Neodiprion lecontei: one gene and its partner. The protein of the gene in region 2 binds, or shares a complex with, the protein of the main gene of each other region. Links are inferred from orthologs where the notes say so. Each region holds a gene or a part of one and is shown on either strand. Other genes may lie near its edges. The genes, in order: transcriptional activator Myb and protein lin-54 homolog.

Region 1 (4,820 bases), on a different chromosome or scaffold from region 2:
AATGTTCTCGAAACTATGAACAATAAAGTCCTCATTTTCTTAGAAAAAAGAAAAAAAAACAAAAAAAAAAAGGTCCAAGCCGTACCCGTCCCTTAATAATTTCAAAATTCCTGATACAACATTACTTCAGCCAATCGTAATACGTAATTCCGACTATAATTTTTATTTTTATTTATTTTTCTTCATTTTTTTTTTGCAGACAGGAACCTGAAGCAACAGCGATTCGATTCGAAACCTCGTCGAGTTCGCCTCTCGACATTGTTTATAATTCGTACAAACGAAGACACGAGCCGTGCATGAGAAAAACGTTCAACTACCACGGACTCGACTTCCAATTTTTTTATATTATCTACATCTGACTCTCCGCTCTTCGTATGGGGCGCAAGGAGAGTAAAGGATGGGGAATGGGAATGGGAATGGAGGGAAAAGAGGAGACGGGGGGGAGGAGGGAAGGGGGGGCCGGCGACCAGACGACGACGTAACATTTGAACCCTCCTCGGTTTCGTTCGAGGTTTCATTCGTTCCTCGTTCCCGACGATCGTCCTTCCCTACTCACTTACCACCGACTGACTGACTGTCTGACTGACTGACTGACTGATTGTCCTCAACGTTAGTTGCTATGCGGGACGACGCGATTGCGTCACACCGAAACCCCCTCTCTCCCTAATCGCTCTCTCTCTCTCCCTCTCTTTCTTCTCGCTCGCTATTATCAACGACGGAGAATTTATTTTTATTCTTGATAAATAGAATCACGCGAAAGATGTATCATCGTGAGAGGGAAGCAGCTTGCTGCCGTCTTAAAGCCACTTTTCTAATGATCTAGTCGTCATTGTGGATAAAAGACGTGTGAGAGCTTTCTTGTGTTATGAAATGAATAAGGTTGCTGGGTCAAGTAACATTATTGTAAAAACAGTCTTGTTACCGAGTTTAAACTGTAAGCACGCGTTTTGCTATTAAAGCATCTGTTTCAAAACACTCTCAATTTCGCTACCTGATAATTCTTTTAATAAACTCGCGAACCCAATTATCTGAACCTATGCATACCCTAGATAAAGTAAAATACAGTTGAAATAAAAGAAAAGAAAAAAGACGTTGCTCGATTTAACGATTGATGAAACTTGGAAATTAATTCATTCTATTCTGTTTATATTTTGAGTGCAATGATAATAATCCCGATGACAATGTAATGTTCTTCGTATTGTTACATATCGTATTCTTCCCAAAGGTTTCAATTCGTTGATTTGACTCCGTCGTTGGTGCAGTTTTTATTTTTTCATTCGATTCTTTTCAATGGAAAGCTGACACCGAACGAACCCTTTACTCGCTTCCTGCAAGATATACTCGATTTCCTGTGTATGTATATATATATTTATATGCATGTACCTCCCACGGCTGCTGCTGGCCCATTTCATCTCGCGTTTACGCGTGTGGTGATGTTGCCATGCTGCGCCGAGAGCAAATAATCACATGTATGGTGGACGTGTGCACACGCATATGGAAAAACAAGCGCTCTTTGTTTAAACATCGGTATAGGTACGCATATGCGATACGTTTAATAATGTATACGTATGTAGGTACACATATCCCACAGAGTTGAAACGTTCTTATTACGAATACAGAGTCGTTCTTTCATTGCGATTCGAACGTCCTGAGAACAAGGATAATTAGGATAACCTGGTCTGCTCTGTCGGAGATGGAAAAATACCATAATCCCTTCCTTCTACCGACTTTCCCAAAAGTTTTCACCTTTTTCAAAAATCTACTGAAAACCCTGAGAAATTTCATACGCTATTACACGAATATCTAGATCCTTTTTCTTTCGATCGACACACCTCGGAATGCGCGGGAAAATTTAAACGCGCTCTCGTGATTCGTAGCTTTTTACAGTTGCGCCTGACGACGAAGGCATCGAGATATAGAGTCGCTGTGCGTGGGGTATTATGGCATTGATAAAACAAGGGGGGGAAAGATAAACGGCGATAAAACAAGTAACGTGAAAAAATGAAACAGGAAGGCCCGGTGCGACTGCCGCGGGCCACGTGTTCCGGCAGACACCTGTCGTCGTTCTTTCTAGGTGAGCGATAAACGGCGAAGTATGCAGTCGAAAAAAACAAAAGACGGAAGAGAAGGAGGAGGAACGAAGGAACATTGAACCACATGTCTTACAAAGACGGAGGGGTGAATTTTTCACCGAGTTTTGGGAAGCAGGGGGTATTGATCGAACGAAGACGTTGTTTCGGATAAAATAAAACGAAAACATGAAAGAAGGCTGAGAATTTTTTTTTAAAAAACATGCTAAATCACACGCGACATTCGAATGTTGTATTACGAACATTGTAACCGTTGTTTCAAATGTGCCTAAAACAACGATCGGATCGTTACTAAAATGCATAATGTTGCAAGGTACATTGTAAGCGCAGCAGCTTAGATTTTGTTTACGCAAATATATATGTATATGTGCAAAGCTGCGGTGTAAGGATCCGTAGGGGAGTTGAATAAGTAACAAATCGCAAAGGATTTAAATTATGGAATGACGAATTACGCGGTCTTTGAGCACAGCTGATTACGCTGGCAAGGCAGACAACGCGTGTTGTTTACATGCGAAAGTAAAGTGACTAGCGTCACGAGATGTAATAGAACTGTCAACAATTGAGAATCGCCGCAGAGAGATTTTCGCGTTCGAAATAGATGAAGAAAAAAAAAAAAAAATGAAGAAGAAGAAAAAATGTAAGACGAAGAAGCGTGTTAGCACCTTGCGAATGTTTAGTAAACACCGAGAGACGATCATTGAATTGGGTAGCGAATAAATTTATGTATGTATGTACGATAAGTTGGAATAATGTATTTCTAGTCTTCTGACTCACCTAGCTCGATAAAACTGCATTTCAATCCGAGCAGGACATGTTCTTCGATCTTTTGCAATTCTCTCGGTAAGGGATTACTTGAGAGAATATGAAGTGTAAGCGATCTCTCTCTCTCTCTCTCACTCTTTGGTTAGTTATTATAGCATTATCGATTAGCTTTGAGCGTGCAGAGATGATAACAATATCTGCAAAATGGCCGACGCATCTATTTCTCACCCTCTCTGCACGCTGTCCGGGTTAATTTGTCAAATTAGTCGAAATACAGTTTTAAGCGTTGCACACACTGACTGATCACTCTCACGGATTTCGCGAATCGAACACCCCGAGAATTGTTTAAAGCACACACCGCACGATCATAGATTTATTTTGTTTCCGGCGCGAGGCGGGTGTTCTGTTTGTTTACACAAAGGACGACCGGCGGCAGCCTCGGTCCCCGAAGAATTCGTTAGGCGATCACCACCGCTGCGCAGGGTAAGTTTTCGTTTGCAGAAAATTATGCTGGCAGCGCGGGAACCGACTGTTTCGGTGACACTGGTGACATCTAGAAACTTCTGAGCGAAGTACCGGTGTGGCGGAACGCCGGAACGGAACCAAACGAACGGCGCCAACGGACGTGCGATGTTGACTTGTTTGACAGGCCGCTGATTTGTCTGCGAGAGCCTCGCGGTAAACGTTCGGTTCACTGGGAATTCGTTCTGTTTATTACTCGTCGGGATGAAATTCAGATGCAGAATGATCGACTCCGCAGCGATGCGCGACTTCACTAGTAAGAGGAAAGATCGATGTTTCACTGGCCTAACCATAACCTGTTTATAATTTATGTGTACGAAAAATGTAACAACTTTGTATATTTCAATCGATAGATGTGGCAAACACGGTATCCCGCCTGGCAAAGGCTTGCGTGATACGTCTTACAAAAGACGAGGTGTGCTTTCACGTCGGTGACGACTATTCGCCGATAGCGTGGGCTGTTTTGTACCAAAACAAATTCTTCAGCGAATACACCATGGTAGGTGTGTGCGAGGAACAGGATGAGATATACCTCGAATTCTCACCTGCCATGCTCGCAAAGAGCCTAAGCTCCCTCAAAATGACCGCCAAGAGCGTCAAGATCAAACTTACCAACAGAGAACAGCCATGTCTCACTATCGATATTGAATTACCTTCGATAAGCAACGAGCTTAGACAGTGCGTTCATGATGTACCTGTTAAAGTAATTCCTCGAAAAGAATGGGGGGAATATCAGGCTCCAATTATACCGTCGTTCGATGTATGTTGAAGAGACCTAATACTGAATCATATCGTCTGGCAACTTAGCTCGCGATCAAGTTTACTCCTGCAAATGCATCTCTATTTTTTGTTACAGGTTTCCATAGAGATGCCAGACATGAAACACTTGCGAAATGTTGTCGATCAGATGGGAAAAATGAGTCCACAACTTGTCGTAACTGCTAAGAAAACAGGGAAATTAATACTGAAGGTGGAAACCAGTTTTGCTACCGTAGCGACGCACTTTCAAGACTTGAAGGTTGGAGGAGACGATCGAGACTCAGGAGTAACGGATGAAGAAGAGGAAGAAGTTTCGGCCACCATAGATATTAGGAAATTTGGAATGTTTCTAACATGGGATATAATAAAAGCCGAAAGCGTAATTTGCAACGTAGTGGCTGACAGAATGATTAACATGCATATGAACATTGATGGACATTTAGAAATACACTATTTCATACCAGCCATTTCAATTCTGTAGAAATCAATTAGAATAATAAATTATAACTTTTTTTATATTAAAAAATTACGTATTTGTGCAACACCGGAAATTAATCGATTCAGATTCCTGATCGCCATATAATTCAAACAATTATCTCATTATGTATATGTAGACCAAGACAGTCCTCCAACGATGGACTTGCAGTAATAATGAATATCAATCTTTCTGAGATTGGTTGGAGTGCA
Region 2 (5,194 bases):
AGACTAAGAGGAGCAAACCTTATCAAGGGTGTAATGAGCAACAGCCTTTGAAACTTCATCAGGTAAGACCAGCAACCGGCTACTAACCTCTGTCAAAACTTGTCTTGATATAACCAAACTTACGTTCTCATTGACGACTGAAAATATAAATAATTCACCATTAGTTTCTTTGCAACATAATAAATGTTTTGAGTATGTAATGATTCCGTGCGAATAGATTTACAAAAAGGAATCAGCTGTAAATAATAGATACATTGATTAATGTGCACATACTTGCTTCGATAAAGAGTTTCAGCATGTCAACCAACTCCTCGCCCGCAGATTTTACCAGAAAATCCAATAGCGTTCGGTATCTGAAAAACCATGCGGAATTAATATTCAGACGACATGAGACAGCATGTGAGCAGAGAAACGTACCTTTCTGCCTGGTCCTTGTGAGAACCTCCGGCATGAGATAAAGTACTCAGCTGTTGCCTCACCGAGGCCATCATCACGACCATATTTTCTCCCAAAGTTTCGGTAATTCGGCTTTGCACCGGTTTCAATCTCTTTCGATCGGGTTCTTCAATTTTTGCAACGACCACGAACGTTTTGAAGATGCGACGAAGACGGTAGACGTCGTTTGCAATTCGACCAAATTGAAGAATGCTGTGAAACACGTAGAATGAGAAACAAGTTCATTCCTGCGTTCCGAAATTAGATCCAGTATCGACAGTTATTCTACATCTCTGTTCCTCTATCGAAATCATGGTAAGCGCTGCCTCTATTTTACGGAATTTTCAGCGAATGTGGTGTACATCCGGTACATTCTTTTGAAAAATAAAGTAACTGCGGGCAAAGCTGGGGGTCAACTTCGATGTACTTTCAATAATTTGAACAGTGCTTGCGTGCAATATGACATTTTGTATGTGTTATTCATAATTATATAATGGTAAATAAATTTTTATTATAAGAAAAAATGAAATCATGGTAATAATACTAATAATCAATAGCTCTGTTCGTTTTAGTTACACTTTTCTACACTTTTTACACTTATCCTGAATTTAGCCAATGGAAGGTGCCCTTTTCTAGGGAAAGTGTAAAAAGTGTAGAAAGTGTAATTAAAACGAACAGAGCTACTACCAGTCCCGCAACATGCTTTCCATGATGTCACTATAAACGACTACCTTTGCGGGGTGTGGGACGGAGGTCAGTAGCGGCTGAATAACGTGACCCTTCTTACAATTTTTGCGAGTTGCTCCCACGTTGCTCCCCCTGCTTCCCATCGTAGAGCTGAGGACTTCAACTCAAGTCCTCCCCGTGGTCCTCCCGTGTATAACTCTACTACGCCCGGTGATACGGAAATACAAATTACATTTTTATTTTTAAATCACGTAGTATATATTACAACTTACATTTGTAATCTTCTGTATATCTGTAAACGTTGTCCACGTATTTCAAATGCGACAAAAGATTTAACAGGTCCATTCTATACACAATTCTAAACAAAAACACTGCAACGAATTTTCATTTGACGCAGAAATAAATAAATGTCATAAATTCTACGAATTTACAATTTCGATTTCGTAGAAACCATGCCTCCAGTAGTATATAAGTGTTTGAGATTTAGATATTTGGAAATATATACTATAAATATAAGAGCAGCCCCTTAAACCTGTAATTTCTTGTACATACATCTATATTTTGGGAAATATATAATAATATAATATCAACTATACTACAATTGTGCCTATAGGTTTCTCTCTGTGCCTATCACGTTTGTTATTATAATTTTGTACACCATGCACTGGTTTAAAAACTAAAATTCCCTAGGAGTGAGACCGAGCGATCCATCGATCAAATAGTGCAACAGAGATAGGAGATTACTGTGCGTAGTGTCAGAAATGTATCCCGAGAAGCGATGCAGCAAGTGAACGGTTAGAATTTCTTCCACGTATAGCGCGACCATTAATGACTTTGGGTCTGTTCGTATATAGAATAGAAGCGCGTGGTGCATCTTGGGATAGTAATGGTGGGCGCGTGATTTTGAACAAATTCGGGATGCCAGAAAAGTACGCAGGTGAGTTCAGAACATTCGGCAGTACTAATTTAGAGCACGTTCAAATCGCATTTATTTTAAACTGTGCTTCAGTTCTGAAGTAATTAGAGTCATTGCTCAGTCAGAATGTGAACCATCGTATGCGCGCAGCACGAACTTTCTGCAAACAACTGAGTTCTAGGTTAACTTCAATTTTTCGCAATTTTGAGCCTCTTTCGTGTGAATATTTCGATCTCAGATGCGTTGAATAATTCTCTCGTATTATACTCACAGAATAAGTAGAATCTTCAACTATTCACCTAATTTTAATAGTCTTGAATCCACATCGAATACTGTTTGTGTTAAAATGGCGCGTTGATGTAACAAATGGCGCTAATGCGACCGTCTGTCGTCCAAGCTTCGAAACGTTTTGCATTGATATTCAAATTTGTTCGTTCCATTTTTCAAACTTCGAATCCCTGCCCATTATTGCTTCCCCGATTAGCGATCGATTCCACGCCTTCGCTTGTTTATCGCTCCCAAAACGCCTGAATCATTAACAACTATTTGAATTTTTGAATTTTTAAAATCACGCTTATCCTCAGTATTGAACTATAGTACAAACAACGTCAACAAACTATACTGCTACATAGTGACTACAATCATTTCGCTTTTCTCCTATCCCAATGAAATTTTTAGCTACCCAATTTGAGATAAAATTCCTTGGAAAAAGTTCCAACTATGACACTTTGCTGCTTATTTATCTTCAGCAAGCATATAAAGCACAGCTATTTTTGAAGCATGAATTGTGCAAGTAATGAGTCTACTTCTAATCGCCAGGTGATCATGTTTGTAAATCGATAATACCTTTCGGTGTGTAAACTCACCGCTTTACAAAACTGGCTTATAAATGTATCTCCAATTTGGCAATTTCAGCTAAGGAATAATAAATTTTGAGCAGAGTATGGCTGCAAGTAATAAAAGCCCAGGGGCAAGAGCCCTTGTTGAACCTCTGGCATTGGATTCACGAACGTTGAGCGATGGAGATTTCAGCGCTCTAAGTTTGTCGCACAGCTCAGAGCAGTACTCGAACAACGACTTTGAGGCATTGGCAAGCATTCAGGCTGAATTTGAATGCATGAACGCTGAAGAGGTAATGACAACTGACGACGAAACTATGCTTCTCGATCGAAGCATTGAGTCTACAACTACAGCGTCTGACATTGAGATGACCGATCTATCGGACAACGCTCAGCCTGAACAGATAACTTACTCATCAGCAGCTAATCAGAATAGTCAAAATATTGTATTCCAAACTAAACCAACCCTGCAAAGAGTGCCTGTGTCGGCAATACAGGTAAATTTCCATTTTATTATTTCTGTGACTTTACAGATTATTGAAATGTTTTTCTCTCTCTTCCTAGTCTTTGGTTTAGACCGTGAAGCCCATCATCCTTAAACTTGAACATTGCTATTTACACTTGGGTAAAACTTTTTTTCAGGTGAAGCCAACTGTGCCACAAGTGTCTCAAAGCCAGTCAATAATGATTGTGTCACCAGCAGGTGGCCAAGGCACAAGCCAAATACTGAAAATATCTCACCCATCGACAGCATCGCCTGGTCAGTTACAATCGCTGGCTCAGACTCTGATAACGGCCAAGTCTGCAGACGGCAACATAGTACAGCTGAGATCGGCACAAGGTTCAAGACCCATCGTGACAACTAGCCAATCTGGGACCATCACTCTGAGCAATGTACAGAACGTCAAACCTGTTCAGTCGGCGATAAAAAGACCAGCTCAGTCTGTACAACAAAACAGAAACGTGAGTCTTACTTCATGGATCGTGTGCTATCGAATACTGGTATTTATCACCTGAATGAGAAATTGAAATAGAAATATTTTACGCTTTGTTGGTGTAACAATTGTTTTTTATTGAATTCTTATCGATCTGCCTTCCATTTACTGCAAATTTCTAATGTAATTTGAACGGAATAAACAGGTATACACAAAAATGATTCTGACCGGTAATCAGAGCCAGACAGGTCAACAGGTTTTGCTTGCCAACACCCAACATGACAATCAGCAGCCGCAGACTATCAAGTTTATCACGAGTAGCGGAGCCAGTCCGAGCATCGCAAGCCCAACGAAAACTATAACTTTTGCACAAGCTCAGCAAATGGGACTTCTCTCCTCCGGGAAGATACAGCAGATACTGCCATCGTCGCCGCACAAACAGCAGGTATTGTTACTTAAAAGAAATATTTGTAAGACTATTGTAGCTCATACGCGTTCGATTTATTCTACGAATATTCAATAACTTCAACAGATGTTGTAAATGGGGTCTGGGAATTACTCATATTTCTTGAAAACTTCATTCTCTGTTGAAAATTGAGAAATTCTAAGCTTTCTGTTTTCTGACTATTTCTTAAAAAGTTGACTAGGAAGTAAAGATCGAACCAATTTCTAAAGAATACCTATATGATTCTGGAACCGAATTTAGTAACCAGCACCTCGCATAGTTCAAGATTTGGTGTTTCTATGTATTACTTACTGGCATTGCATAGAAGAAAATTATGATGAACATCTGAGAGAGATTTGAAATTTTCAGTTGAACAGTTGAATCACATGTCTGAAAAAAAATATTTTCGGTAAAACTAGGATTACAGAAAGTTATCAGAATTTTCAAAGGAATGGCATGGGTTTTCCACAGATGTACTGAAATTAATTTTCTGTTTCGGAAGTAAGATATTTCTGTAAAACTTCTAGAAATGTTTAGAAATTGTAAGAGATTTTTCAGAAAAACTGGGAAACTCGGAAATTTACATTCTAAGGGAATACGTGCACATTTTTAAACCTTTCTGCACATAATTTTTGCCGGAGGTAACTTGACTTAGTGTATTAAGTGTTTAAATGTTTGTACAGGGTATAATTGTGAATAAATTGGTCACATCAACTTCAACTCAACCTTCCAAAATGACAATTCTCCCAGCTACGACTGTGAAGCCCCCTGCCAAGATATTACCAGCCCCTACTTCAATGACTAGCCACGCCAAGTCATCAATAGTCTCCAACTCCCAAACCACAACGTTCTCCAGCACTGGAAAAAATATGCCACAGAATTCACAAAAAGTCATCATAAGACAGGTATTTTTAGTTTTACAGGAACCTGTAAAAGT

The links.
Region 1: protein lin-54 homolog (region 2) and transcriptional activator Myb share a complex: the UniProt entries of both Drosophila melanogaster proteins name them as parts of the DREAM complex. The link is inferred for Neodiprion lecontei from reciprocal best matches to the Drosophila melanogaster genes mip120 and Myb.

The regions. Positions count from the first base shown.
Region 1 is NC_060264.1:1,904,403-1,909,222, reverse strand, and holds the start of transcriptional activator Myb, read right to left. Parts: upstream 3,301-4,820; 5' UTR 2,885-3,300; coding exon of another isoform or gene 2,865-2,884; intron 1-2,864. Other genes in the region: checkpoint protein HUS1, read left to right, coding at 3,579-3,630, 3,728-4,134, 4,231-4,614. UniProt on the Drosophila melanogaster protein: DNA-binding protein that specifically recognizes the sequence 5'-YAAC[GT]G-3'. Component of the DREAM complex, a multiprotein complex that can both act as a transcription activator or repressor depending on the context.
Region 2 is NC_060261.1:11,991,077-11,996,270, reverse strand, and holds the start of protein lin-54 homolog, read left to right. Parts: upstream 1-1,983; 5' UTR 1,984-2,059; intron 2,060-2,953; 5' UTR 2,954-2,981; coding exon 2,982-3,374; intron 3,375-3,519; coding exon 3,520-3,840; intron 3,841-4,017; coding exon 4,018-4,257; intron 4,258-4,940; coding exon 4,941-5,162; intron 5,163-5,194. Other genes in the region: COP9 signalosome complex subunit 4, read right to left, coding at 19-137, 274-353, 418-500. UniProt on the Drosophila melanogaster protein: Component of the DREAM complex, a multiprotein complex that can both act as a transcription activator or repressor depending on the context. In follicle cells, the complex plays a central role in the site-specific DNA replication at the chorion loci.